7 linked regions of the Macaca fascicularis genome follow. The protein of the gene in region 5 interacts with the protein of the main gene of each other region in a biochemical or structural test. Links are inferred from orthologs where the notes say so. Each region holds a gene or a part of one and is shown on either strand. Other genes may lie near its edges. The genes, in order: RNF19A, RNF20, HERC4, RNF7, UBE2L3, NEDD4L and PRKN.

The links.
Region 1: the proteins of UBE2L3 (region 5) and RNF19A form a complex in vitro, tested with the Homo sapiens proteins (3 studies listed by BioGRID). The link is inferred for Macaca fascicularis from reciprocal best matches to the Homo sapiens genes UBE2L3 and RNF19A.
Region 2: the proteins of UBE2L3 (region 5) and RNF20 form a complex in vitro, tested with the Homo sapiens proteins (2 studies listed by BioGRID). The link is inferred for Macaca fascicularis from reciprocal best matches to the Homo sapiens genes UBE2L3 and RNF20.
Region 3: the proteins of UBE2L3 (region 5) and HERC4 form a complex in vitro, tested with the Homo sapiens proteins (2 studies listed by BioGRID). The link is inferred for Macaca fascicularis from reciprocal best matches to the Homo sapiens genes UBE2L3 and HERC4.
Region 4: the proteins of UBE2L3 (region 5) and RNF7 form a complex in vitro, tested with the Homo sapiens proteins (2 studies listed by BioGRID). The link is inferred for Macaca fascicularis from reciprocal best matches to the Homo sapiens genes UBE2L3 and RNF7.
Region 6: the proteins of UBE2L3 (region 5) and NEDD4L form a complex in vitro, tested with the Homo sapiens proteins (11 studies listed by BioGRID, with this or other methods). The link is inferred for Macaca fascicularis from reciprocal best matches to the Homo sapiens genes UBE2L3 and NEDD4L.
Region 7: the proteins of UBE2L3 (region 5) and PRKN form a complex in vitro, tested with the Homo sapiens proteins (52 studies listed by BioGRID and IntAct, with this or other methods). The link is inferred for Macaca fascicularis from reciprocal best matches to the Homo sapiens genes UBE2L3 and PRKN.

Annotation. Positions count from the first base shown.
Region 1 is NC_088382.1:109,906,015-109,910,034, reverse strand, and holds part of RNF19A (E3 ubiquitin-protein ligase RNF19A), read left to right. Parts: intron 1-2,209; 5' UTR 2,210-2,302; coding exon 2,303-2,976; intron 2,977-4,020. UniProt on the Homo sapiens protein: E3 ubiquitin-protein ligase which accepts ubiquitin from E2 ubiquitin-conjugating enzymes UBE2L3 and UBE2L6 in the form of a thioester and then directly transfers the ubiquitin to targeted substrates, such as SNCAIP or CASR.
Region 2 is NC_088389.1:56,540,589-56,544,608, forward strand, and holds part of RNF20 (E3 ubiquitin-protein ligase BRE1A), read right to left. Parts: intron 3,327-4,020; coding exon 3,114-3,326; intron 1-3,113. UniProt on the Homo sapiens protein: Component of the RNF20/40 E3 ubiquitin-protein ligase complex that mediates monoubiquitination of 'Lys-120' of histone H2B (H2BK120ub1).
Region 3 is NC_088383.1:78,490,248-78,495,004, reverse strand, and holds the start of HERC4 (probable E3 ubiquitin-protein ligase HERC4), read right to left. Parts: upstream 3,060-4,757; 5' UTR 2,906-3,059; exon of another isoform or gene 2,693-2,905; intron 2,275-2,692; exon of another isoform or gene 2,247-2,274; intron 1,440-2,246; 5' UTR 1,409-1,439; intron 933-1,408; 5' UTR 855-932; coding exon 629-854; intron 1-628. UniProt on the Homo sapiens protein: Probable E3 ubiquitin-protein ligase involved in either protein trafficking or in the distribution of cellular structures. Required for spermatozoon maturation and fertility, and for the removal of the cytoplasmic droplet of the spermatozoon.
Region 4 is NC_088376.1:44,573,878-44,577,049, reverse strand, and holds the end of RNF7 (RING-box protein 2), read right to left. Parts: intron 2,087-3,172; coding exon 1,968-2,086; 3' UTR 782-1,967; downstream 1-781. UniProt on the Homo sapiens protein: Catalytic component of multiple cullin-5-RING E3 ubiquitin-protein ligase complexes (ECS complexes), which mediate the ubiquitination and subsequent proteasomal degradation of target proteins.
Region 5 is NC_088384.1:31,559,353-31,564,134, forward strand, and holds the start of UBE2L3 (ubiquitin-conjugating enzyme E2 L3), read right to left. Parts: upstream 3,034-4,782; 5' UTR 3,008-3,033; coding exon 2,981-3,007; exon of another isoform or gene 2,455-2,980; intron 1-2,454. UniProt on the Homo sapiens protein: Ubiquitin-conjugating enzyme E2 that specifically acts with HECT-type and RBR family E3 ubiquitin-protein ligases.
Region 6 is NC_088392.1:22,606,397-22,610,416, forward strand, and holds part of NEDD4L (E3 ubiquitin-protein ligase NEDD4-like), read right to left. Parts: intron 2,566-4,020; coding exon 2,336-2,565; intron 822-2,335; coding exon 700-821; intron 1-699. UniProt on the Homo sapiens protein: E3 ubiquitin-protein ligase that mediates the polyubiquitination of lysine and cysteine residues on target proteins and is thereby implicated in the regulation of various signaling pathways including autophagy, innate immunity or DNA repair.
Region 7 is NC_088378.1:8,403,170-8,407,775, forward strand, and holds the start of PRKN (E3 ubiquitin-protein ligase parkin), read left to right. Parts: upstream 1-1,351; 5' UTR 1,352-1,470; coding exon 1,471-1,477; intron 1,478-4,606. Other genes in the region: PACRG (parkin coregulated gene protein), read right to left, coding at 745-900. UniProt on the Homo sapiens protein: Functions within a multiprotein E3 ubiquitin ligase complex, catalyzing the covalent attachment of ubiquitin moieties onto substrate proteins. Substrates include SYT11 and VDAC1.

The sequences.
Region 1 (4,020 bases), on a different chromosome or scaffold from region 5:
ACTATGCATACTGCACATATTAAGAAAGTTTGGCTGGGCATTGTGTCTGACGTCTGTAATCCCAGCACTTTGGGAGGCCAAGGAGGGCGGATCACTTGAGGTCAGGAGTTCGAGGCCAGCCTGACCAACATGGTGAAACCTTGTCTCTACTAAAAATACAAAAATTAGCAAGTCATGGTGGCGCATGCCTGTAATCCCAGCTGAGGCAGGAGAATTGCTTGAACCCGGAAGGTGGAGGTTGCAGTGAGCTGGGATTTTGCCATTGCACTCTAGCCTGGGCAACAGAGCCAGACTCTGTCTCAAAAAAAAAAAAAAAAAAGTTCCCTTTGTGCCTCACCATAAAATGTAGCCACAATCCTGACTCCTAACATTGTACATTAATTCTCTCTGTTTGGAACTTTATATAAATAGAATTATACCACATACTCTTTTGTATGAGAGTCCTGTCTTGTGTGTAGCAGTATTTTGTTCCTTTTCATTGTTTCATTGCTTTAGAGTGTGAATATACCACAATTTATGTATTCATTCTACTGCTGATAAAAATATGGTTGTTTACAATATTTTGAATATTATTACCAATGCTATTGTGAGCATTGTTAAGTATGTCATTTTTCTTATTCGTTCCTTTCTAGGAATAAAATTGTTGGGTAATAGGTTATCGCTGTATGCCAATTTTATAGATATTGTTAAACAGTTTTCCAAAGTAGTTGTGCCATTTTACACTCCCACCAGTAGTGTAAGAGAGTTCCTATTCCTCCACATCCTTGCTAACACTTAGAAATGACAGTCTTTTAATTTTAGCCATCCTATTAGGTGTGTTGTAGTCTCTGAATGGGGCATTAATGTGTTTTTTCCTGATGACTGATGATGTTGAGCACTTTTCATATGCTTTTGTGAAATGCCCCTGCCTATTTTTCTATTGGATTGTATATGTTTTCTTATTGATTTGTAAGCATTTTTTACATAGTCTGGGCACTGTGCCTTTATTAGTTATATGTGGCAAAAGTCTCCTCCCATACCCTTAATACTGTCTGTTGATTTTATTCTAGTCCAATTTAACAGTCTTTTATTTTATGGTTGGTATTCTTGTATGTTCTGTTTAAGAATTTTTCCATTGAAATAGTCTCTTCTCTTGTCTCCTAGAAGCTTTACATTCAGATCTGTAAACCATTTGTAATTGATTTTCATATATGGGCAAGCCATCCATCCATCAAGTTTCCTTTCTTTTCTCAGGTGGATAACCGGTAGACATAGTACTTTTCTTTTTTTAAAGGCCATTTATTCTCAGTCCTCAGCAACATCACGTTTGTCATAAATCAAGTCTCGTGTGTGTGTGTGTGTGTGTGTGTGTGTGTATGTAGGACTTTTATTTTATTTTATTTTATTTATTTATTTTTGAGATGGACTCTCACACTGTCGCCCAGGCTAGAGTGCAGTGGCGCAATCTCGGCTCACTGCAAGCTCCGCCTCCCGGGTTCACGCCATTCTCCTGCCTCAGAAGAATACTCCGGAGTAGCTGGGGCTACAGGGACCCACCACCATGCCCGGCTAATTTTTTATATTTTTAATAGAGATGGAGTTTCACTGTGTTAGCCAGGATGATCTCAATCTCCTGACCTCGTGATCTGCCCGTCTTGGCCTCCCAAAGTGCTGGGATTACAGGCGTCAGCCACCACGCCCGGCCTATATGGGACTTTTTCTGGACTACTTTCTGTTCCACTGGTCTTTGTATTCATCCTTGTGGCATAGCACATTATCTGATTACTGTAACTTTATAATATTATATCTAGCGGCGTTAGAGGCCTTTCCCCACTTTGTTCTGCAAGATTATGTAAGCTATTCTTAGCCCTTTGTATTTGCATGTATACTTGATTGTCAGTTATAAACAACAACAGAAAGACCTGCTAAAGACAGTGAGAAATCATTGAAGTCAGAGTGATAATGACCAGAAGTTTTTTTCTAAGATTTTAAGAATAATTAGGTCAGCTCAAATCTAGAATCTTTTATTAAGATTAAAGAATGCCCTTTTTGTTATTTCAGCATTAGTCTTGTAGTTTCTTACAGACTATTTAATAAATTGGCCTTATTTAAAAAAACAACAGCTACTAATGGTTAAGGAACATACTTGTTTGAAATTTGATATTTATGAAAATATACAAACTAAGAACATAATTAAATGATCTTGATTTTTTTATTTTTTATTTTTCAGAACATCCGTGATAACAGTCTTCTGTAAATCGAACTTTTGAAGAATTCTCTGAAAGAACCAAGTAGAATATTCTTACATCATGACTTACTCTGAATGCAAGAACAAGAAATAGGTTTTATCTCTAAATATAATGAAGGGCTGTGTGTAAACACTAACCCTGACTCAATTCTAACAAACATTTTAGACATGAGTTTACATCGGCAAATGGGTTCAGATCGAGATCTTCAGTCCTCTGCTTCATCTGTGAGCTTGCCTTCAGTCAAAAAGGCACCCAAAAAAAGAAGAATTTCAATAGGCTCCCTGTTTCGGAGGAAAAAAGATAGCAAACGTAAATCAAGGGAGCTAAATGGCGGGGTGGATGGAATTGCAAGTATTGAAAGTATACATTCTGAAATGTGTACTGATAAGAACTCCATTTTCTCTACAAATACCTCTTCTGACAATGGATTAACTTCCATCAGCAAACAAATTGGAGACTTCATAGAGTGCCCTTTGTGCCTTTTGCGGCATTCTAAAGACAGATTTCCTGATATAATGACTTGTCATCATAGATCTTGTGTGGATTGCTTACGACAATATTTAAGGATAGAAATCTCTGAAAGTAGAGTTAATATTAGTTGCCCAGAATGTACTGAACGGTTTAATCCCCATGATATTCGCTTGATATTAAGTGATGATGTCTTGATGGAAAAATACGAAGAGTTTATGCTTAGACGGTGGCTTGTTGCAGATCCTGATTGCAGGTGGTGTCCAGCTCCAGATTGTGGGTAAGAAGATATTGTTTGATTTTTCTTGAGTTAATTTTTTTCTCTGTGGATAAAATAATTTGCTGTTACTCAAAAATTTTTACGTGCTGGAGAATTCATTCAACAGGCCTGTTGAGTACACACCATATATCAGGCACTATGCTAGCTGTTAAAGGCAGTGGTCCTGTCTTACTCATTTCTGTATTGTCTCTGTATTACATATTCACGGAGCACATTTAGAAGAAAAGGGTAAGGTGGTAGAGTTCAGGATCTACCTGAAATTGGTTTTCTCATCCATTTGGAGAATTTTGATTTTGGAATAACAGACGAAATGTTGAGCATTGTTTGTGAAGAGGAGGTTATTTGTGGTCATAAACTCAAATGACCCTCTTCTTTATTTTTTTCTCTTTGTTGACATGTTTCTCATGAGAGATAAATGGCCCTTTTGAAAGGTACCTACCTTAGCATGTGCCACAGTATGATGTGTTCATGTTGATATACATAAACATTTGCTAGTCTCAAGTTCTAGGGGTTATGTAATATTTGATTTGCCTCAAGTTTTTGAATTAACACATACCGTATTCTCAACATTTAAAATAAAATAATTTTGCATATATATTTGATTATTATGTTGGTGAGCAGCTCCTGTTTATAGAGCATTTATTGTGTACAGTTGTCAGAATTAGGGAAACAGTAGTCATATACTATTCAAGAATAGTAAAAGCCACAAACAATTAATGTGATATGTAGCACACTGTTAGTAAACCAGAGATTATAAGTAACGTTTGGGGAAACCCAGAACTTCCGAGATTATCTGGGTATAATCTCAGAGGCAAGACTGGAATGTGAGTTTCATTTATCAAATTACAATTTCAAGACTCGTTACCTGAATCAAATCCACGATTTAAAAGTTTCTTGAGTAGTGAATTTTCAGATCGCATCTAACCTACATTCCATAATTTTAAATGAGAAAAGTAGTGTTTCCTGCCTGTGCAAATCCCAGTTTTCCCAGGTATCACTAGCACTTTATCATCCACCAAAGATTTCTGTGTAGTATACAACATT
Region 2 (4,020 bases), on a different chromosome or scaffold from region 5:
AATTAATGCACAAAGGAGAATCAAACAATATTACAGTGTAAAAAGTAAAATCACAAACACCCACCTCCTAACCTCACCCACAACTCATCCCAATATGTGGAGGTAACCATTCTAACAGTTTCTCATGCCACCTTCAAAAAGCATATCAAAAAGATAGTCCACCATGATCAAATGGGTCTCATACCAGGGATGCAGGGGTGGTTTGACATCCGCAAGTCAATAAATGTGATACACCATATAAACAGAATTAAAAACAAAAATCACATGATCATCTCAATAGATGCAGAAAAAGCATTTGACAAAATCCAGCATCCTTTTATGATTAAAACCCTCAGCAAAATCAGCATAGAAGGGACATATCTTAAGGTAATAAAAGCCATCTATGACAGTCCCACAGCCAACATTATACTGAACAAGGGAAAGTTGAAAGCATTCCCCCTGAGAACCGGAACAAGACACAGATGCCACTCTCACCACTTCCATTCAACATGGTACTGGAAGTCCTAGCCACAGCAATCAGACAAGAGAAAGAAATAAAAGGCATCCAAATTGGTAATGAGGAAGTCAAACTGTCACTGTTTGCTGATCACATTATCATATACCTAGAGAACCCTAAAGACTCATCCAAAAAGCTGCGAGAACTGGTAAATGCATTCAGCGAAGCTTCAGCATACAAAATTAATGTGCACAAATCAGAGCTCTGCTAAACACCAACAGCAGCCAAACTGAGAATCATATCAAGAACTCAACCGCTTTGACAATAGCTGCAAAAAAAATAAAATAAAATATTTAGGAATATACTTAACCAAGAACGTAAAAGACCTCGACAAGAAAAATTACAAAACACTGCTGAAAGAAATCACAGATGACACAAACAAATGGAAATACATCCCATGCTCATGGATAATAGAATCAATATTGTGAAAATTACCATACTGCCAAAACCAATCTACAAATTAAATGCAATTCCCATCAAAATACCAACATCGTTCTTCAAGGAACTAGAAAAAACAATCCTAAAATGCATATGGAACCAAAAAAGAGCACGTATAGCCAAAGCAAGACTAAGTAAAATGAACAAATCTGGAGGCATCACATTACCTGACTTCAAACTATACTATAAAGAAATAGTCACAGCCAGGCGCAGTGGCTCACACCTGTAATCCCAGCACATTGGGAGGCCGAGGCGAGCAGATCACGAGGTCAGGAGATTGAGACCATCCTGGCTAACACAGCAAAACCCCATCTCTGCTAAAAATACAAAAAATTAGCCGGGCATGGTGGCGGGTGCCTGCAGTCCCAGCTACTCGGGAGGCTGGGGCAGGAGAATGTTGTGAACCCGGGAGGCAGAGCTTGCAGGGAGCCAAAATCGCGCCACTGCACTCCAGTCTGGGCAACAGGGCAAGACTGTCTCAAAAAAACAAAAAACAAAACAAAACAAAAAAACCCACAGTCACAAAAACAGCATGGTACTAGTATAAAAATAGGCATATAAACCAATGAAACAGAATAGAGAACCCAGAAATAAAGCCAAATACATACAGGCAACTGATTTTTGACAAACCAAACAAAAACATAAAGTGGGAAGGGACACCCTATTCAACAAATGGTGGTGTGATAATTGGCAAGCCACATATAGAAGAATGGAACTGGATCCTCATCTCTCACCTTATACAAAAATCAACTCAAGATGGGTCAAAGACTTAAATCTAAGACCTGAAACCATAAAAATTCTAGAAGGCAACATTGGAAAAACCTTTCTAGACACTGGCTCAGGCAAAGACTTCATGACCAAGAACCCAAAAGCAAATGCAACAAAAGAAACAATAAATAGATGAAACTTAATTAAACGAAAAAGCTTCTGCACAGCAAAAGAAATAATCAGCAGAGTAAACAGACAACCCATAGAGTGGCAGAAAAAAATCTATACATCCAACAAAGGACTAACATCCAGTATCTACAAGGAACTCAAACAAATCAGCAAGAACAAAACAAACAATCCCACCAAAAAGTGGCTAAGGATATGAATATACAATTCTCAAAAGAAAATATACAAATGGCCAACAAACATAAGAAAAATGCTCAACATCATTAACTATCAGGGAACTGTACATCAAAACCACAGTGCAATACCACCTCACTTTGCAGGAATGGCCATAATCAAAAAATAATAGGTGTTGGCATGGATATGATGAAAAGGGAACACTTTTACACTATTGGTGGGAATGTAAACTAGTACAACTACTATGGAAAACAGCATGGAGATGCCTTAATGAACTAAAAGTAGATCTACCACTTGATTCAGCAATCCCACTTCCAGGTATCTACCTAGAGGAAAAGTCACACCATGGAATACTACTCAGTCATAAGAAGGAACAAAATAATGCCATTTGCAGCAATATGGATGGAATTGGAGACCAATATTCTAAGTGAAGTAACTCAGGAATGGAAAACCAAACATTGTATGTCCTTACTCGTAAGTAGGAGCTAAGCTATGAGGATGCAAAGGCATGAGAATTATACAATAAACTGTGGGGACTTGGCAGAGGGAGGCAAGGGACAAAAGACTACACATTGGGTACAATGTACACTGCTTGGGTTGTGGGTGCACCAAAATCTTGGTATCACCACTAAAGAACTTACTCATGTAACCAAACACCACCTGTTCCCCAAAACTATGGAAATTTAAAAAAAAAAAAAAAAAGTAAAATCACACATACCTCCTAACCTCACCCACAACTCATCCCAATATCCAGAGGTAATGATTCTAACAGTTACTCATGCAGCCTTCCAGAAATTTTTAAAATACACAGCACAGGCACACAAGTAAACATACACTTTAATGCAAAAAGGGTAACAAAATAAGTCAGTTGATTTTATTTCAGACATGTTTCCATATTAGCAGATCCATATTTGACAGCTACACTGTACTCTTTTGTAGGAATAACAGTAGAGATGTATAATTTACTCACCAATACCCTAATGATGAACATTTAGTTTTCAAATTTTTTTCCATCACAAAAAAATGCCACAATAATCATTCTTTAATTTGTATCGTCATGTAGCAAGCGCCCTATTTCAATAGAATAGAAAGCTCTACTCATCTTAATTACCTGAGTCTTCAGAGTCAAAACCTGGTCTGCCAGCTCCTCCTTCTCTTCTTTAAGCAATTTATGGATCTGATTGGACTTGATACGCTCTGACATGAGCTTGAAATTTGCATCATCCTTCTCCCGCAATTGCTGCATCAAACGGATATTTTGCTCCTGCATGTCTTCAAAGGCCTGGCCTGTGACATCCATCTCAGAGAGGAGTGCTTCTTCTTCCTAAAGGATGGAGGAAGAGATTTCATTTTAGAAGAATCTTCCAACTTCAATGGATGAGCACCGGAAACTAAACTTTCCCACCGTTCACTTACATATAAATTAATTTAGTGACAGAGTTTTAAGAAGCTGTGTTTTGTCATTAGGCATACAAAAGCTCTATTATCTGAAGTCACTGGCACCAATTGTTGGTCTGATACTTATTAGTTGACCTGTATTCAAAGTCAGTTAAAGCAGACAATAATTGTATTTACCTTAATCTAGACAAACAGATCAAGCAGTAATTGGTTAAGAGTATTTCCGGCCGGGCGCGGTGGCTCAAGCCTGTAATCCCAGCACTTTGGGAGGCCGAGACGGGCGGATCACGAGGTCAGGAGATCGAGACCATCCTGGCTAACACAGTGAAACCCCGTCTCTACTAAAAAATACAAAAAAAAAAAACTAGCCGGGCGAGGTGGCGGGCGCCTGTAGTCCCAGCTACTCGGGAGGCTGAGGTAGGAGAATGGCGTAAACCCGGTAGGCGGAGCTTGCAGTGAGCCGAGATCTGGCCACTGCGCTCCAGCCTGGGCAACAGAGCAAGACTCTGTCTCAAAAAAAAAAAAAAAAAAAAGAGTATTTCCATCGTAACCTCTCACATTTTCTCATGCTTTTCCGCAATTAGAATACTGGATCTACAGGATTTCCAGCAGGTGCAAAC
Region 3 (4,757 bases), on a different chromosome or scaffold from region 5:
TCTCATTACCCTACAAATTATTTAATTTTGCTTGTACAACTATTACAAAATAGGACACTTCATAGTCACAAAATCTTGAATAGCTAGCAATGCTACAGAAAGTAAAAGATTAGAGGAATAAAAGATATTTCTAACTAAACCAAATAAAATTACATGTTTAAAATACTATGACAGAGGGATAAAAAGAATAAAAACATATTTTAGGCAAGCAAGTCAAAGTAAAAAGCTTTTCGTCTTGTTTTCTTCTCCTACTCCCAAGGTAAGGTAAACACAAAGTAAATTATGCATTTAAAATCTATCCACGGTGCCTGAACAGAATTTATTAAAGAGGGCCTGCACACTACACATTCTGTACCAAAGACCTATATACGGCAGGCTGATTTTCTTTATTGTTTTATATTGTCATACAAAATAAGGTTTTATAATACTAGTCGTAAAAAAAAAAGAAACCACAACATAAAGTACTTAGAACCATACAAATATACAAATATAATGGAAATACATAACTTCTACTTTGCTTTTAAAGTTTGATAAACATATAATTACAACTAGAGAAATTATATGATGATTCAAATTTAAAATGATATAATTATTAGAAATAGCAAATTTTAAAAACGTTTCAACTTACCTGGTTTCTTTCTGGATTTTTCATGACCTAGCTGTCCTAGATCATTACATCCACAAGTGTACACTGTTCCATCATCCAGAACAAATACAGTATGTCTGAGTCCACATCCTACATCTCGGACCTTTTTATTTATAAAGAAGTCACTTTTTCTGGGCTCTAGTACAATTTCTTCATCAATTCCACCCAAACCTAGCTGTCCAAAGGATGCATTGCCCCAGCACAACATGCTTGTAATTATTTTGGTCTTCCAGTTTCAATAAAAAATTCTCTTCTGAAACCCCGGAAAGTTGGAGGTACCCTATGTCTGAGGAAATAGAAAGAAGTTAATATGACTTCAAAGAAAAAAGGTATAATTGCTCTTTCAAGTGCTAGGCTACAATAATTGCTACATGGTAAACACTAAATTTACTTTATAACATGGTACATAAGTATCATTGTTTCAAAAACCAATCAGTTGTATTTTTTTTAATGTATCATACAGAAAGTTTTAGGGAAAATATGTCACTTTCTACGATCCTTTGCAAAATTTAAAACATATTAACTAGTTTTGACTTCTGGTTATCTTGTGATAGACTAAACTAATGGGAGTAAGTACCTTGATGAAATTAATCACAATTTTTTCTACTTTTTGCTTTAAATAATTTCAGTGGGAGCAAGAAATAAGACATCTTTTCACTGCCCAAGAAGCAAATATACACAGTGAAAAATTTAGCCAACTGCAGAAACATAACCTTGCAATCTCCCTCAAATCCTAGTATAATTAAGCCTTCTAATACCTACCTCCACATCAACAGAAAATGGAAGTTCTTATCTGTAACAGAAATAAAACCAACAATGGAAATTTAAAGCAATTTTCCACAATTTAAACGACTCTCCCAATTATTCTTAATAGGCCAGAGAGAAAATGAGGATTCTCTTACCAAACCACAATCTCAAATCACCTCCAAAGATCCCATTTTTCAAATCAAAATACTAACATTCCAACTTCACTAATTTTAAAACTAAATCAATTTGCATAATTATAATACAGAAAAAAACTCATGCAGTTTAAATATCAATTCTCTCCAAAATTCAACCTCTTTTATTACAATTGGTAACCGGGACTAAAAAACTCTCCTGTGAGCAATCTATATCTATCTATACTTCTGAGACAATTATTTAAAGATTGGCGGGGGTTAATTGCAAATAACTCCAGCACTGCTGATTTTTCAAGAATAGGAATGGGGGCTGGGGCACTGATAGTCTGATGGCGAAATCTGTAGAACTTTCCAGCACATTGACTGAGTATTTCTTCACTTGTAAAGACACAAATAACAGAGTCCACTTCATCTATACATACGTAGATTTTTAAACACATCGCGTTACTAAATATCATAATTACAGGAAGTCAGCCTTATTCTGTAGTAGTCATGCACATTCCTACAGAGCCTGCGAAGTCTCAATCTCAATTTTCCTACGTTCCTGTTAGCAAGTGCCCAAGGTGTCCCATTCCACGACCCATCATCCTCTAACAAGTTTGATTTCATTCTTTCGGGGCATCAGAACTCTATAATTCCCAAGACTTCTGCATTGTCTTCCCATATTTAAAAAACAAAATAAGAGTAATACAGGAAAATACCCCGACTTCAGCGCGCGAGGTCTAACCACCCTTTTCTTTAAAGCACAGAGGCGTCCTCTCGCCAGCAACAGGTAGGGAAATGAGAAGCAGTTTAATCCCGTCTTTCCCTGAACGTGCACCCAGATCAGCTCATGCGGACCGGGAAAGAGAAATCATCTGCACACACCCAACCTCGCAGCCGAGCAGACAACTACCGCAACCGGCCGCTCGCAACAGCCTCAGAGGCCGGCGGCCGAGGCTTGGCAGCCCGCGGCCTCAACCTGAGAGAAGCCCATCCCCAGGGAGGTGCGACATTCCAGCCCCGGGGCCAGGGAGCCACAACCCTGCCCTCGCCCCACGCCCCTCACCCCTAGGAAGCGCTGAGAAAGCGCCCAGTGCCGAGCCGGCCTGCATCCGCCCAGCCCGGCCTGCCCCTCCCTAACGCCGTCACACGCCCCCGAACCCACTGGGGCCACAACTCGCCCAGCCCTTCAGGGCAGGGGAAGCCCAAGGTGACGCGGGGCGGCCCTTCCCCAGAGACCAAGGCAGCGCGGTCGCTGAAGCAGGTATCCGGCTCCTGGGACCCTCCTCCGTCAGCCAGTGGCGGTGATCACCAGGGCACCTCCGGCGTCTGTGCCGCTGCTCCGCTGCTCCCCTCCCCGGCCCCTGTGAAACTTTACCGGGTTCCTTAGAGAAAAGCGGACGCCACTGCTGTCCAGTCCAGAGACAGCCGTCAGCGACCCGGATGGAGCGGGCGGGGAAGAACAGGAGGCAAGCGGGGCGGAGAGCACTAGGGGTGGGGAGAGTTGGGGAAGAGACTGGGTAGGAGAAGGCAGAGGGGGAGGTGGCCACGCGAGGGAGGCGGGGGAGGGGCTGGCCGGAAGTGAACCGCCGAGCACGCGCGCGAGCCCGCCCACTTCCCGGTCCCCGCGCCTGCGCCGGAATACTCCCGGGGGCGCTTGGCCACAGGCGCCTGCGCAGTGTGCTGCTTTGCGTTGCTTTAAGAGGGAAAAGTCAAATACAGAAAATTGGAGTTTGCGAAGACAAACGAAGAAGGTATAAACTGTTTTTGAGAATGCTTCGGCGTGCACAGAGCCTTTTAATGAAGAAAATCACTTTGTTTTTTGGTTTGGTTGTCTTTGTGCTCATGGATGCTAGCTGGTCTTTTTATTATTTTACTCTCTCTTTTCCCAAGGAGATTTTAAGTAGCAGATGAAACATCACGATTATGAATATAAAGACTGGTGAAGAGTTATTTTATCCCATGGCCTCAACTGGAGCCAGTCTGAGGATGTGAGATGTATTGATAGCAATGGTTAAAGCTACTCGAACTAATAACACCACCAGTTCAGGTTCCTGTTACAGTGTTGGCTCCCATCACTTTCTACACTCCCCCTGAAAGATAGGCTTGAATTGCAGGGCCTCATTCTATCAGAGAAAATTACACATTTGGCTGCAGTCCCTGATTCATAAAAACGAAGTCTGGATCTCCTAGGCTAGCCTTAACTTCTTAAAAAGCAGGAGAACTTGAAACAAAGCACTTTTGAAATTCTAAGTTTGGCATTGCTAGAATGAATATTCAGTACCTAGAAGAAGTTCCACAAATAGGCCATCTTTCTTTTTCTTTTCTTATTTTTAATTATTTATTTTATTTATTTATTTATTTTTTTGAGACAGAGTCTTGCTCTGTGCCCCAGGCTGGAGTGCAATGGCGCGGCGCAATCTTGGTTCACTGGAACTTTCGCCTCAGCCTCCCGAGTAGCTGGGACAACGGACATGCGCCGCCACGCGCGGCTAATTTTTGTATTTTTAGTAGAGACAAGGTTTCGCCGTATTGGTCAGGCTGGTCTCAAACTCCTTACCTCAGGCGATCCACCTGCCTCGGCCTCCCAAAGTGCTGGGATTACAGGCGTGAGCCACCGCGCCTGGCCTATTTCTTTATCTCTTGTTGAAAAACATGTTTTAGGTAAGAATTGTCTGTTCTAGAATATGTTTAAGTGTGTGTATTCGTGTCCTAGGCTTGCCATAATAAATTAAAACAGATTGAGAGGCTTAAAACAACAGAAATTTATTGTCTCACAGTTCTGAAGGCCAGAATTTCAAAATCAAGGTGAAAACAAGGTTAGTTCTCTCTTGGGGCCTCTGAGAGATAATCTTTTCCAGCCTTCTCCGCTAGCTTCTGATGGTTGCCAACAATCCTTGGCAATCCTTGTGGAAGCATCCCTCTTCACCTTGTTTTCGCTGTGTGTCTGTGTCCAAATTTCCCTTTTATAAGGACACCAGATATCGGATTAGAGCCTACCCTGCCTGATCCATTATGACCTCATCTTAACGTTATTACATCTGCAAAGAACTCATTTCCAATTAAAGGTCACATTTGGCCGGGCGCAGTGGCTCACGCCTGTAATCCCAGCACTATGGGAGGCCGAGGTGGGCGGATCACCTGAGGTTGGGAGTTCGAGACCAGCCTGATTAACATGCAGAAACCCTGTCTCTACCGAAAAAATACAAAATTAGCCGGGCGTGGTGGCG
Region 4 (3,172 bases), on a different chromosome or scaffold from region 5:
GTGCAGATGAGCTATGATCATGGCAGGCTGGGCAGCATCAACGCTGCTTTGTCACAGCGCCTTCTCTTCCCTCAGATGCTGGTGTGTAGCATAAACAGGGCTTTGTTAGGTGGCGGGACTGTGGTTTTGCTGTGTGGAAAATCAAATTGTTAGCGCCATCCTCCACATTTCATTTACATACTGTCACACTGCCTAAAGTAACCTGACATTCTACTGCTTTCCTCTTCAATGCAAAGCCGTGTATCTGGTTCACATTTTAAGGATGCAACCTTCTAAAAAGGTCAAACAGAAAGTTACTAAAACAGTTTACTGCACAATGATAAATTCAAATGGCCAAAGATATTTGTATAATTTTTTCAGTAGCTAGAGAGACAACTGTGAAAAAATATAAAGCAAAAATTTCCAGAAAAATGTGATTCATAAAAAGTAACCCATACAAAAGCATAATTTTAATTTTTTATTCTAATTGTTACGTTTTTAAACATTCTATGTATCCACATCCCTTAGATTTAAAAATTCAGAATGGCAAACTGAATCTGCAGATGTGAAAAGTTAAGATTCTAAGGTTTTTTCTTAAATTCATATCAGTAGACTCTACCACAGAAGAATCCAAAATGAACTTGTGGTCCGTTATTTGTTACAAATAACCTCCCCTTAGTGTGAAACAGTTTGATAAAGTTTAGTATTTTCTTGTACTGTTTCCAGGTAATAAACCTTAAATTTCATTATTACCAAATGAAAGAGCAAATGAATATGAAATTTTTCAAATTAAATGAAAGTATTTACTTGACAAATTAGTTTATTAAGTTTAAGGTTGCACATAAAATTATAATGACAATTCAAATAAGGTAAGCAGAATAAACCATTTATTAAAACACTGTGTGATAAAATAAACTTTTTGACCCAATGCTACACTGGTAAACATTTTCCCTTATTAACATGTTACCTAAAACACAGTTAAATTATATCATCTGGGCCGGGCGCAGTGACCCACACCTGTAATCCCAGCACTTTGCGAGCCAAGGTGGGCGGATCACCTGAGCTCAGGAGTTCGAGACCAGCCTGGTCAACATGGGGAAACCTGTCTCTACTAAAAACACAAAAATTAGCCAGGTGTAGTGGCACATGCCTATAATCCCAGCTACTTGGGAGGCTGAGGCAGGAGAATCGCTTGAACCTGGGAGGCGGAGGTTGCAGTGAGCTGACATCATGCCACTGTACTCCAGCCTGGGTGGCAGAGCAAGACTCCACCTCAAAAAAAAAAAAAAAAAAAAATTACATCATCTGACCAGAACTAGAAAATACTTCTGTCCTTTACCACTCAATGATTGAACAGTGAGGTGAGTACAGATCTACGTTTTCTTGCTGAATGACAGAGAATAGTAACTTTAACGGCAATCAAAATTCCATATGCCTAAAAGTTAAATTTTATTTACCCCGTTCACTGGCCCAAACTTAAAATCCTCACATCACATAAAGATTTCAAGGACCGCTCCCTTTCCCTGCCAAAAATACATATTAGGAACAAATTAAGAATAAGAGTTGGCTTTTAAACTGCACTTTATTTGTTACTATAACATTCTTTTTTAACTGATCAACCATAAGCATGCAAAAAGTTCTCTGAAACTGCTCCCACCGCCTGTTGTAGAGAAATGGGTAAATTATAAAGGTGATTCAATTTGGAGTTCTTTCCTTTTTTGTAGCACTTCTAAGCTGTGTGCGCGACACACACCACAGAGGTAGAAAGGACCATCTTTAATAAATTATCTTCTTAATCACAGAGAATTTCTGAAAATAAAACTGACAAAATGCTAAACCAAGGCTTTGATGAGTCCCAAAGGACCATAGATCCATCGGCTCCTATTTGAAGAATTCATCCCCTGGAGTGTTCTAGCCTTTGTAGGGCACTGGATTACAAGATCCACCAGGGCTCTGAACAACCGCACTAAGAAGCCGTCTAACCACTCTCATTTGCCGATTCTTTGGACCACCCAGTCCTGCTGGCAGAGAGGGCAGCGATTGTTCTGTTTCACCCACAGGGACATGCAGCAGTTGTGGAAGGAATGATTACATTCTCCCCAGACCACTGAAAGAAAGAAAAAGAAGAGTTGACATTACATATTTCAATTTAAATACTCAACTCAAAATTACAGCTTATTTTATATTACAAATAATAATCTTGAAAAAAGACAGTTAATTGGCCAAAATAATGTTTTTCTATCTATAAAGAAACAGAAACTTAAATGTGTAAGTTACACAGAGACATAAGTCACTGTTTGAGAGCCTTTCCATCCCTGTTCTAGAATCTATGGGTGATGTGATGACCCCTAGTTCCTACACAGCTCCACATGCTATCTTCTTGAACTTAGGAGATGAAAGGACTTGAACCTTCCTTAGATCTGACCTTCTCAGTTATGCACTGACCTTAGAGACCTTCTGGGCTTTATTTTATGGAAAAATGTCCTTCCAATTTTTATTTACCAAGACAGAATGAGTTGTAAATGTTTTTAGCATGCAGTAGGCTATTATAAATAACATGCTTCTAAATATTCAGTTGTGCATCTACTGAGCTGAGCTGTTTTCTAGAAGTAATGAATTGTTAGGTCATCCACAAGCAGTGCAATTCCTCATGTGACGATGAAATTTTCAAAGGGGCTGGCTGGAGAGAGAGGTCTCTCTGTGATCCAAGAAAGTGGCCTGCCCCTCACAATTCCCAAATTAATACTTTTTAAACAAGCAGCATGGAAGAAAAACTTTAAAACAAGGGAAATCATCCATAATCTAGAATGCAATCTCAAATTTGGTATTCATCTGTCCCTTGCTTGATCAACTGAGCTATATGACAAAAGAAAAAGATTAAATGAAAGAAATAAGGCAGAAAAAAAGAAAAAAAATTCCTATGAAAATTTGCTACAGGGGGTAGGAAGCAAGGGTGAAACATTCTAAGTGTTTCAGGAGGAAGAACTGGATCAAAACTGCAAGAATCAATATTAAGTTCTATGTACATCATGTATTTGTGTTCTATGTACACCATGCAAACACAAAATACAAAGCCGATCTTTTATTCTAAGAAAATCTGTAAACATGTTTATATAGCAATCCAGACTTGATCACCTCAAGAACTAGGGCATAAAAATCTTTGAACTGCCTAAAATATTTAGCCTACGACAAC
Region 5 (4,782 bases):
GAACTTGTATCAATAATTTTTCTTCTTTAAAAAAAAAAAAAAACAACTACCCAGTCTTAAACATTGACTCTCACAGCCAATGATCAGCATTACATAACTGGCGTTCCCCTAGTGAACTGAAAGCCTTTCCATCCTCAACTTAAGAAACAACACACCGCTCCATGCAGCCTTTGAGTAAGAAAGACAGCCTGACAAGAGGCATGGAATTTGGGTCCTAAAGACAGGAAGAGTCAGTGTCTTCTCCCTCCCCACCACATTCTACGATTCTACCTTAGGTAACTCCCTTAACCTAGTTAACCTCACAATGTCCTCATTTGTAAAAACATAAAAACGACAATACACTAACTTGGAGTGTTGAAAAGATAACTTATGTAAATAACCTAATATTTAATAAATACTCAGTTAATGTTACAAATTCTTTTCCAAGGTCTATTTTTTTAGAAACAGAGTAATAATTTTAAACCCGTAATAAGTCCCCTCTTAGACCCCTGAGAGCCTGGGGATTCCAAACTGGGTCAACTGGGATAGGCTAGGGGGCTTCCAGGATGAATTAGGTCAAGATCCCTGCCCTTCGGGATCTCAGAACCCAGTACAGGAAAGACAAGTCTGTAACACAAAGAGATTGTGACAAGTGCTCAAAGAGAAACATAAAGTGCTGTGGTCACACAGAGGAGGAAACAACTCATTCTGAAGGGGGATGTGAAGCAGGGGCTCACAGAGCAGTTGGCATTGGAGTTGAACCTGGGACTTCTCTGGAAGGCAGAAGTGAGGAGAAGGCAACTTTTTTGGGGCAGAGCAAACGACACGTGCAAAGAGACACCAGAGGGCAAGTAAGAGCAGGAGACTTTGCTTTGGAGAAAGAACCCAGTTCGATCACAGCTCACTCTCCCTAGCTAGGTAACCCAGGGCAAGCCAAATAATCTTTTCTCATCGACAAAATGGAAATCACAATGTCTACTTCACAGGAAGGATTAAACATGATCATGCATATAAAGCACGAAGTAAAAGCTGGAAAAATAGTAGCTACTGCGATTAGGTGCAAGAATGGTGGGAAACCAAAGGGCAGGAGGTGAGGCTCAACTGATTGCTTTCCGTCAGTCTCAGAAAGGTCTTGCATGCCAAGTAAGAGGTTAGGATTAACTGCTGAGGACAATAAGACCATAGACATTTTTAACAGGAGTGAAAAGAATTGAGTTATCTGCCTTAAAAGAACTCTGGTGTCCGTGAGGGGTAGTCTGGGGAGGAGAGCACTCCGGAGGGCACCCAAGAGATGAGGATACAGATTCAGAGTAATTTCAGTAACATTAGAAAGCAAGTCATGCACTTCAGAAATCTTTTTTTTTGTTTGTTTTTGAGATGGAGTCTCACTCTGTCGCCCTGGCTGGAGTGCAGTGGCGCAAACTTGGCTCACTGCAACCTCCACCTGCCAGGTTCAAACGATTCTCCCACTTCAGCCTCCCGGGTAGCTGAGATTACAGGCGAATGCGACCACGCCCAGCTAATTTTTATATTTTTAGTAGAGACAGGAGTTCACCATGTTGGCCGGGCTGGTCTTGAACTCCTGACCTCAAGTGATCCGCCCGCCTCGGCCTCCCAGAGTGCTGGGATTACAGGCGTGAGCCACCGCGCCCGGCCTGCACTCCAGAAAACTTTCTAAATTTAAATCCACAAGGGTTGAAGGACGACTGCACCTGGGAGTAGGGTAGGAAAGAAAGCCATTAACCGACCCCTTATCTGGTGAATGGTGGTGTCACTAGCTTAAGAGATGAGAAGTCAGAAGTCCTCTGAGTTTTCTTTTGTGCCCACTTCCACTCCAGTTTTATAAAGTTAATGTCCTCTCTAGCCCTTAGGGAACAAAAGAAAGGAAACGTTCCCAGGGAGGCAGGGAGGGCTCAGAGACTGTGGCTCCAAGTTCAATGTCTAGTTCTACCAAACACTGCTCTGCCCAGAACGAACCCCAGCTCTTTATCTCCCCTCAGGAAACCGGCTCCGGGGCCTTTTTTTAATTTCCGGCCCGTTGCAGGCCGGCTGCACTAGCCAGCCGCCGACTCACAGACGCTGGCGGAGGGGACTCCGGAGGACGTTGGCAAATCCACTGGCAAAAGAACTAAGCCAATTTAGCTAATGTGTTCCTCACTAAAAGGTGCCAAGTAGCAAGAAAGCACCCTGCTGCATTCAAGATCCAAAGTACCAAGTTATTATTATAAACTTTGGCCCGTTTTGATTCGAACGACTGAAACCAACCGTTACCCCCCAAAAAATGGCATTTTGCTTTATCAGGGAAGGGAGATCGAGATGACTGAGTGGAGGAGAGGGAAGGAGAACCGCGCCGCGATGGGGGCCGACCTCAGGCCTTCCTGGAGTTGGAACTTGCCCGCTGTGTGACTCTGCAGTCACAAGGCGACAGTTTGCTAGGACCCAGCGCAATTCCAAACGACCCACCAACAAACTGACCTAACTTTGGCCGCCTGGCCTCCTCCCCGCTCTCCTAGCCCGAGCCTTCCAGAGTTCCGAGCTGCGGCTGGGCCAAGCGGAGCTGCAAGCCCGGCTCGCTGAGGCCCAGGGCGGGGCGGTTCCGCTGCACGGGCTCCGGGCAGGGGCTCCGGCGCTCGGGCCTTCCCCGAAGGCGCTCAGTTTGGAGCCTCCCAACCGGGCTCTCACATTAACGACGCCCTCGCGTCGGACCGCGGCCTCCGCGACAGGGGGACGCGGCCACGCTCCGGGCGGAGGGTGGCGTGAACGCCCCGGGCCGGGCTGAGGGGCCAACAGTGGCTCCCAGCGCGGCCTGGCGCTCCCGCCCAGGCTGCGGCCTAGGCCAGCCCCGTTAGCTCCTTGAGCCTGCGCGCGGCCCAGGGAACCGACGAGGCCGTGTAGGGCAGGAGGCCAGACGGCAGCGCCCTGAGAGGCCGCTGCCTGCCTCGGGGGTCCGGAGCCTGGGACGCCGCCCCACGCCCGACCGAGGCCAGAGAATGGCTTTTACCTTCATCAGCCTCCTGCTGGCCGCCATCTTGGATTTGGTGCTGCTCCTTCCCCAGAATGCATCGCGGCCGGCCGGGCGGCTGGAGCCCCCGCACTTCCTGGAGCGGGGGAGGGGCCGCGGGGCGGGGCACAGGAGCGGAGCAGAGCACCTACTGTATGCTTCCCAGCGTGCTCGGAGGCGCGTGGAGGAACACAAGTGAACCGCACAGGCTGAGCCGCAGCGTTTACGGATCGTCCAATCAGATGACAGTTACAACCAGTGCCTGGCACGTAGTAGGCAAATAATAAATATTGATTGCATAAAATAGTTGGCCGGGCGCGGTGGCTCACGCCTGTAATCCCAGCACTTTGGGAGACCGAGGCGGGTAGATCACGAGGTCAGCAGTTCCAGACCAGCCTGGCCAAAGTGGTGAAACCGTGGCTCTACTAAAAATACAAAAAATTAGCCGGGCGTGGTGGCGGGCGTCTGTAATCTCAGCTACTCAGGAGGCTGAGGCAGGAGAATTGCTTGAACCTGGGAGGCAGAGGTTGCAGTGAGCCGAGACCACGCCACTGCACTCCAGCCTGGGCGACAGAGATTCCGTCTTAAAAAAAAAAAAAAAAAGTACTCTGATTGGAATGGGGAATGGAGGTGGGTAAGAGGATAAGAAGGGGAGCAGGGGCCACTTGGAAACCTGTTGCAATCGTTCAGGCAAAGAGGTGACACTGGTTTGGACCTCAGGGAGCAAAGAAGAGAGAAGAACATAGCTTCAGAATATACTCAGACCTTCTTAAGGAGTTCTCTTTTTTTTTTTTTTTTTTTTTTTTTTGAGACACAGTTTCACTCTGTCACCCAGAGTGGAGTGCAATGGCATGATCTCAGCTCACTGCAACCTCTGAATCCCAGGTTCAAGTGATTCTCCTGCCTCAGCCTCTTGAGTAGCATAGATTACAGGCACCTGCCACCATGCCCAGCTAATTTTTGTATTTTCGGTAGAGACAGGGTTTTAGCATTTTTGGCCAGGCTGGTCTCAAACTGCTGACCTCAAGCAATCCACCCACCTTGGCCTCCCAAAGTGCTGGGATTATAGGTGTGAGTCACTGGGCTTGGACATTTTTCTCCATTTCTAAGAACAGTGGGTTTCGGCCGGGCGCGGTGGCTCAAGCCTGTAATCCCAGCACTTTGGGAGGCCGAGGCGGGTGGATCACGAGGTCAGGAGATCGAGACTATCCTGGCTAACACGGTGAAACCCCGTCTCTACTAAAAATACAAAAAACTAGCCGGGCGTGGTGGCGGGTGCCTGTAGTCTCAGCTACTCGGGAGGCTGAGGCGGGAGAATGGCATGAACCCGGGAGGCGGAGCTTGCAGTGAGCCGAGATCACGCCACTGCACTCCAGCCTGGGAGACACAGCGAGACTCCGTCTCAAAAAAAAAAAAAAAAAAAAAAAGAACAGTGGGTTTCCCCTGAAAGGAGAGAAGGAAAGGGAACTGGAAATAATATATCCTGGAATAAGGCTGGCCTCACACTCATCTTGGGACCCCAGGCTTGACACAGGAAAGGAGGGAGAAACTAGATGACAAGCCTCATGTGAGCAGCCATTCTGCCTGCCTTTTACCTCCCCCAAGGCCAGTACACTGGAAGTTCAATACACATTCAGCGTATGTATGAGGGACCCCATCAGCTCCCTAGGGTCATGGTGGACTTGGAAGCCTGGGACTGACTCTGGGGTCTACTGTGAGCACCGGGCCTGCCCTTACTGAGCCCAGGACAAAGGAAAAACATAGCTTTATTGAGAACTGCTTTCCTCTGTGGAGAATTACAG
Region 6 (4,020 bases), on a different chromosome or scaffold from region 5:
CCCATCCTCAACCACTCTACCTCCAAGCTCTTAAAAAATATTTCTGATGCTTTTTCCTTACTGATGATTTCTGTAGTGTTTTCTTAAGGACGCTATTTTGAATTGGCCAAATCTTTTAGAAGTCTCCAAGCCTATAGATAATGCCAGGTAGAGGGTTTGACTTCTAACTTTCAAGGTACCTTGAAATTCTTCCATGATTTACATGCTTTAAATAAGAATGAAATTATTTTGTGTTATTTGTTTCAGGGTTAATGTCTTAGCTGAGTGGTAACATTATTTTGAAATTATTTAGTCCCTTCAAATTAAAAAAATAATTTGGGGACAAATGCAATAATCACACAATATTAGATGGATGAGATCATTTTAATTAACTTTTCAATTAGTTTTTCCATCTGTTATCAAATCTTGCTTTCAGTAAAGTTATTCCAGAAAACATACAAATGTATAAATACATAATGTTCTGTGCTTTACAATGAAGTTAAAAAAAAAAACTTTTGTTTTTAACTGTGTGTAGACATTATGTCTTCAGTGCCCAAAATAAGCTACCAGAGAAAAGCACATCCATTATGGGCGAAACATAAAAATACTTTATGAGTAAACCAGTGAAGCTTTTGCTTAAAAACTCATGATGCAAAAGATAAGACACCTACCAGCAAACCACAAGCGGCACTGACCTATTTTTATTACTTCAAGACTTACCATCTAAGAGCTTTCCATGAAATACGGCCAGACCAGCAACTCTTCCAATAAAAGTGAAGTAGGACAAATGATCTTCATTACAGAGGCCTGAATTAGGGTTGATCTGAAGAGTGTAGTTGTCCCTTTTGAGGAGAAAGAGAAGAAAAGACCAATCACACTTTCAAATGCAAGATTTTGCATATTTCTTTGCCACCTGTCACTCAATTTCTACAGTGTCCTTGCAAGCATTCTGTACCTAGTGGGAAAAGGTGTGGGCTAGAGGACCTGACTTACCACCTGCTCAACCATGACCCACCATGGAAGCTGATGCATGTGTACTTTAAAGTCAATTAAACCATAAGAAACTGCTGATGTTTGACTGTTTCTGATCCACAAAGTGTCTATTTCCTATGGTTCAGCCAAATATCTTGGGGAGATAAGAAACTCCACATAATAAAGGGGCTGTGCAGGCATTCCCAATGATGTGGGTACTTTAGGTCGTGTCTGTGATAAAGGAAGGTTAATTCCTTCCAGAGGCTTTTGGCTTGGCCATAAGATGTATGCTATGGGCCCAACCCTTGGTCTGTCTTCTGACCACTACTCTGCTCTGAAAAGGCCTCAAGGGGATTAGGAACAGGATATGGCTCTCTCAATGAGGCAAACCTGCAAGTGTTTAGATTTGTCCAAATGACCTTGCTTGGTTCACAATTATGTGGATCAGTGGTTTTCAACCGGGGTCACAGACAGTTTCCTCCAGGGGGGTATCTTTGAAAATGTGGAGGAGAGGTAAAGATCTTGTCTCTCCCCACCCTGCCCTCCACCTTCAGTAGTTGGATAAATTGTCCATAGTGGGCTTTCTCATGGGACTCAGTAATAATAACAACAGACCAACTGGGCAATTCTTGGCTAGAGCAACTGAGAAGAATGCACTGAGGTTGCCTTCCAAATGAGCCCCCAGGAGATTGGTACCACATGGGAGATGTGGGAGAACCCACGTCCCCTTAGGGCCCAGGGTTAAAGTGATGATAAATACCCTTCAGCAAGGTCAGTGACTATTCTACTGAGGGCTTGGGTCCAGCCTAACCCTTGGAGGATTCAGAAGAAGGAATGGCTGGCCTGGAAGTAGCCGATCTTTGGTTGCTCAGAAAGCAATTTAGTCTGCCTCAGTTTCCAAGCCTGGCAATGATGAAATCCTAATGCAAGGGGAAACCTGATTCTTTCCTCACAGGAGCAGGGCATGGTCCTAGGTCCTCAAAGTCCTTACAATTTGCCTTTACCCAGAGACCTCGGAAACAACTCTTGTTCAAAAAACACCTTTTTGTTTTTGCATTCTAACACTGACAAGTCCTCCTTTTGAACACTGCAAATGAAAATCGCCTCCTATTCCTTACCACAATTATCCACGTTTTCAATTTCAACTCCATGAACCCATTAGATAAGAAAAAAAAAATCAATGTTAGATGTTCACAGAGTACACTATTTCACCAGGTAGAGTCAGAACCTGTTCTAGACTTGCAAGGGGCTGTGGGGTGAGGAGAGAATAAACTCAACAGACTTACTGCATCTTGAACTGGTGAGCTGCTTATTCTTTCATTCTGTTTAAATTCATACAACTGTCTCAGTGGGGGACACACTCTGGGTGTGGCCATATACTTACGTGGCAGAGTACTCAAAGAGGCCGTAGTAGGGGTTGAACATCTCTTTGGACAGTAAGAAGAACCATTCTCTGGCCACACCCCCGTAGTCAAGACCTTTCTCTGATTCAAACTCAATCCACAGTCTAGCTTTTAGGACATCTGGTCTTTTCACGGACATAATTCTCCGATAGGACTCTTCAAATATGTTATTTCTGTGAAGTTTCATTTCAAACCTATTGGGGATATCAGCCTACACAAAAGACAAAAGAAAACACACACAGTAAATACACGTTTTGTTTTCTAATAAAAACAACAACCAAGGGTAGGAAAGTTGGCAGTCCTCAAAGAAACGAGCAGTGACAAATGGTTCCAATTGAGAGTCTCTCCTTCAGGGGTTTTCCCTTGCAGACAGAAAGCCTCGCTGTGTCACGATGGACACACGGCATCCGCTAGCGATGCTCAGGAAAGTCAGAAACTCTGCTGCGAAGGAGAACAGCCTCCTCACCCCCTTTAATAAACAACTGTGGGCACTCCTCCAGCATATGGCAACTGAAAGGCAGTCAACTGTACCTGTTGCTTCTCTCAAGAGACTTTAGCCCAGGTAATCAAAACCTGTAATAATCCCCACCTGGCCAGGCTGGGGCCATGCTCAACTCTGGCAGGGCCGCGAGGTGGTAGATATAATCCACGGTGCCTCAAGTCCATTTTGCAGCCATGGGGAGCGGGACCCTGATTATGCCAAGTGTGGGGAAAGCAGCCCAAAGCATGGTTCGCTTGACCAAGGCTGCGGCAGCTGCCTCCTGCAAAGAGGCAATCCAGGCTTGGTCTGGCTGTAAGAATGAAACTGCAGAGATGTTTTCCGGGTAGCAGACACTGCTATGTGAGAGTCAGAGAGCCTGGGTGATGACCACAAAGTCATTATCATTACCAGGGGACGTGACTCACAAAGAAAATTGTGGAATTTTTAGTATTCATCTAAGTTTTGAAGGCAAATAATCATTTCAATAGTAGTTATCCATGAGCTCTTGAATCAGGACTTTGGAACAGAGACCAAAACTCCTAAATGAGATCAGAGATTGTGCCCCATCCAGAGACGTCCTGGGCAGGAGGAACCGGCTGAGGGGAGGAGGCAGGGAGAAATGGCAACAGAGCCCAGGCCACCGGAGGGGGTCTGAGCTGCAGCTGATTCTCCCCCCTCCCTAGAGGTGTAACCATAGTGATGGAGAAAACCAAAGAGAAAACTGCTAAGGAGGAATTGGAAAGTAAAACAGAAGATGCAATGTTGAACAATTTGGGGGTGGTGAGTGATTAGAAAATCTAATGTTATAATTTAAAACACTGCCCATAAAAATTTTTAGAGTTTCTAGGTTTGAAACTGCCAGGGACAATTATAAGCAGAAAATTACATTTGCACCTAGTACTGCCAATTACTATAATTAAATATAACTTTATATTATAAATATTGTAGCTGAAACTAAGCTTTTGCATTTGCAAGGAAGGACCTGAACATTTTTCTAACTGGGATCCAGGTTTATTAAATATGATAACTGTGCATAACTGAATGGGTTTCCCCAGATTTTGCGACTAGGGTTCTGAATTATTTCATATCCCATAAAAATCGTTCCTGTCTTTTTATGTATTACATACGAAATTACCCTTCAGGTGATTTGATACATAATACTGAGTTAATCTTCACTTACCATTT
Region 7 (4,606 bases), on a different chromosome or scaffold from region 5:
GTTTAAAAAATAGATACTATCATGCAGACAGCTAAAATATTTGTATGTATTTTTAATCTTTTTTTCCTCTAATGATACTTAGAATATTTTATTTTTGTTACTACAAATAATGCAGATGAAATATGAATTGTATTAGTAGCAGAGACACATGAGCTAAAGCTTGTATTGTTTAAAGCACATCATCTTAAAAGGCCTGTCAGGAAACAGTGTTCATATTAAGTGGGCTTTCAGTACTCTAACAAGATGACATCATTTTCTAAGAGACAAGTGTTGTTAGAGTAACTGCTAGGATATTCCAAAATTTCTCATTATAGATTATTTAATGAGTTTATGTTCCCAGTTGTATATCAGCTCATGTTAAATTTTGCAAGAGTTTATGATTTCTAAGAGCTCATCTTCTGTAAGGCCCTTTGCTGAGTGGGGTTAGTTAGCAATCAGTAATTAAAGGGGATCTTTTTACCTCGTGTAAATAGCGTAAGAGTAATTTTGGGCGGTTTAGAAACGATGAGTTATCAGGAAGGTGCTTATCAATGGGCAGAGTATATCATTTGCCCAGGATTCTAACAACCTAGCCTGCCCCCCACACACTGTGGGGGACCGTCTGCTACTTGCCAAGTAATTGCCATTTTTGGCAAAGACCACCCAGGACATGGGCTCAGAGTCCATCCTAGGGCTGGCCAACCTCTGTAAATCTCGTGTCCCCTGATACGGAGCGAGTGCATTCAATTCAGGAAGATCACTTACGACTGAGTTTTTCATCATGGCTTTGACTGTGAAGCCCTCAGAAACCAGGGAGTGAGGCTGGTGCACCGGGAGCGGCTGTTGTGCCAGCAGCTTGGTCCTCTTCGGCATCTTGTCTGGGCATTTGTTTAAGCTCAGGGTCTCTTTTTCTGCCACCATCTTCCTAGAAAATGTCTTGTTCTCATAAAAAGTGTAGTAAAAGAATCAGTGGGTTTTACGGATGTGAGCAGGAGGTCGGGAAAAAAATGTCAAAAGGCGCGTTAATGGTAGAAATTCAACCCCTCGTAGTGCCCAGGTTGATCCAGATGTTTGGCAGCTCCTAGGTGAAGGGAGTTTAGGGGAGGGGTGGGGCGGGAAGAGGGCAGGACCGTAGCTAGAGCTGCAACAAGCTTCCAAAGGTAAGCCTCCCGGTTGCTAAGCGACTGGTCAACACTGCGGGCGCATAGCTCCGCCCCTCGGTGACGTACGATTGCTGGGCCTGAAGCCGGAAAGGGAGGCGGCGGTGAGCTGGAGGGCAGGAGGCGTGAGGAGAAACTACGCATTAAAACTACGACTCCCAGCAGGCCCTGGGCCGCGTACCCTCCGCGCGTGCGCATTCCTAGGGCCCGGCGCCGGGGCGGGGAGCCCTGGAAGATTTAACCCAGGAGAGCCGCTGGTGGGAGGCGCTGGCTGGCGCCGGTGCGCGCGTAGGCCCTTTCCTGGCCCGCAGCCGCCACCTGCCCAGTGACCATGATAGGTACGTGGGTACCTGCCAGGTACAGCCTCATCTGCGCCGCCCTGCGCCCCGGTGTGGCCTCGGCCGACCTGGACCCCAGGTGCCAACTGTCAGTGACGGGGCCAAAGTGCCCATGCCGTACCCGGCCCGCACCGCCGGGCTCTCCAGCTCAGCGACGCGGGCCCGGGGCCCCAGTGTGTGCGTTCCAAGCCCTCGCCCGCCCGCCCCTGCTCTGAGCGTTCCCGTGAAGACCGCCTCACCGGGGACGCCAGGCGGCCCCGCACCCCCGGTCCTCGCTCATGGTCCCCCGGACCGTGTAGGGTCCCGAAGCCTTCGCCCCGCCGCCGCCCCTCGCCCTCGAGGCCCTGGCCAGTTGTCGTGCGGTTCAGGACCCATCGAGACCCACTCTTTGTGGGGCTCTTTCAGGAAACCCCAGCAAAGCATTAAACTCTAATGGAAGGCACCTGGTGAGGGTGGCTGGGCGCCACAGAAACTCCTCCAGATGAATCTAAACTTCTTGCTCCCTCGGATGTTTCCTTTTAAACTTCTCGTTGGAGGGCTGAGGTGAAAGAAAAATTGAGAGTAAATAATAGCCAAGATTACATCTACTGCCTTTTGCAATATAACTTTTTTTTTTTTTTTTTTTTTTGGTAAAACACAATGACCGAGGTGCAATTTTGTGAACAAAACTTAGTGGCATCAGAGTTGTTCATGAACACTTGATGTGTAAGATGAGCAAAGGTGCAAAGGTCCTCTTCCAGGGTTGTTGAACCAAAAACTACTTTAGGGGCTGTCCCTAAAAATGAATGGAAATGCACCATATGTTTAGAAGCCAGTGCTATATGGGGTTTCATTATTGTGGAAGTTTCTCCAGGTTATGTATGGAGGGTTTAGTGAGCTTGTTTAGGGCTAATTCCTGAGGAGCGTCCCTTACAAAACACTTTTGATTGCAGTAAGTACGTTCGAAGTCAGATGTGGTCTGTCCAGAAGTAAGGTGAGAGGTGGATTCATAAAATATATGATCTTTATGCACTGAAAACACGTACTACATCTGTTTTTATTTATGAAGTTATTGTTAAAATGTAAACATTCTGCCCATCAGTGGGAGAATCAAGCCAGCTAACTGGCATTGTCTTTGTCTCTGTGGTAAAACAAGAATGTTGTTCAGCCTTCCCTTTCTAGCATGGTCTGACTTTTGGTGAATGACTTGAAAGTTAACCAAATTATGAAAAAGTTATAATTTTTTGAGTTTTCTTGAGCTCTTTTTAGGTGACATTTACGTAAGATTCACTTGTAAGCACAAGTCTGAACTGAATCAGAAAACCAAGTAGAAGAGATTTTCCAAAATCCGTGCTATCAGTAGTCTACAGGAAGAAAATAGCCTATACCTTATTTTGAAGACAGTTAAATACATTTTATTTTAATTTAACTTAATCTAGTGCACAGATAATTTTAAGAGAAACAAATTTATTGTAAAGCTATATGAAGACAGGCACTTAAGATCTGGGATTGGAGGCGTAAGCCACCACGCCCAGCCTCATTAGCCACATTTCAGTAAACATCTGAATGGCCAGTTTGAGATTTGGGTGTGGTGAACAGTGCTAAAGGTAGGTGAAAGTGAAAACCATTAAAAGGAAGCCTTGGAGTGATGGATTTTGTGTTTTTGTGACAAAAATTCAGAGCGAGGAAAGACATTATAGATTTTATCCAGTGATCAGTTGGAGATCAAAATGTAAATAGTATGTATCTGGGATTTTCTGTTAAAGGTAAGAGTGCTTCTCAAAGCTTGCTCCTTTCAGGCCTATGCTTTCTCTGTTACACTCACCTTGTTGCGGGATTCAGGAGGACGAGAGAGACCTCGGGTTGAAACAGGAGAATCTTGATCGAGTGCACTCAGGCCCAGCTGACTCACATGCAATAGACTGGGCCCAGAATAAAGACAGTACTTGACTTTTATACACACTTCACAAAAGGAGGTGGGCTAGCTTGAAGCAAACTTACGGTGGTGGCAAAGCAGGGATACAGAGGCAGGACAAAGGCAGGACTGCACATGGCCATCGCCAAGCAACCCAGATGTTCGTTATCTAGGTTTCCCTGGGCACAGGCTTATCCTATAACCTTCACTATGGTGCCCAGGCAGCTGTAGTTCAGGCCTACTCAGGCTTCTCATGACCTTCGTTGTGCTTCTTAGATAAAACAGAATACTTGAAATCACTAGTTACAGAGAACAAGAGTCTATAAACTGATTCCATAAAACAAAGGAAAATTTGTTTTTCTTCTCCCTGTGTTGAGGGAGTGCTGGGAGAGTCTCCAGAGCACATTCGATAATATTAGCAAGACTCTTCCTGGATCTGGGCTGTGCTGTTGCTGCCTCTGGGACAAGTTAGCCTAAAACAGGAAAACTTATTTCTTTTTCTTTTTAATTTTATTTTTCTTTAATTTCCCGCCCCAACCTTAATGCAAATAATATTCTGCCAGTTGGAGAAACGTAAAGATGGGTTTCCTGGTAGAAGAGGAGTAAACAAGACTGACTGCGACCTAACTGCTAGTGGAATGTGCCTTCCTTTTACTTTCTCAAAACCAAAGATTCCCTTCTTGGGATGAGGACTGTTTCATAAGTCCTTACATTTCCCACCTGGATTGCGATTGATATGTTGAATGCCCTGACCTGGGCAGCTATGGAAACGTAATTTAATTGAAGTCGGTTAAAAATTGTGCCTTTGTGGAAGGTGTGGAGAAGGACTTCAAGATAATATAAAGCAGAATAGAAAAGCTTAAAAGAATTCAACGTAGAAAAGTGTAATTTTTGGTATCTCTATTAAAAATATATTTTGACTTTGTAAAAAATGATCAGTTTTTTGTATTTAAAATGGAATGTTAGTGGTGATAATTTGTGGTATGTTCTAAATGTTCTGTAGAACTGGATTTAGGTATTTGAGTAACAGCAGATATTAGAGTGCTTGGTTATATATACACCAATGTTGTCAGTATTGAAATACACATTCAGTGTCTTATACTTTTAAGAAGATTTTTGATTGACAAAAACCATTCATTGGAACATAGTCTCTTCTATACCTTGTTTCACTTAGCATCTCTTTGAGAATTTACATATCTGCATGTACAGATTCACTCCACAGCAGTTCCTGCCTA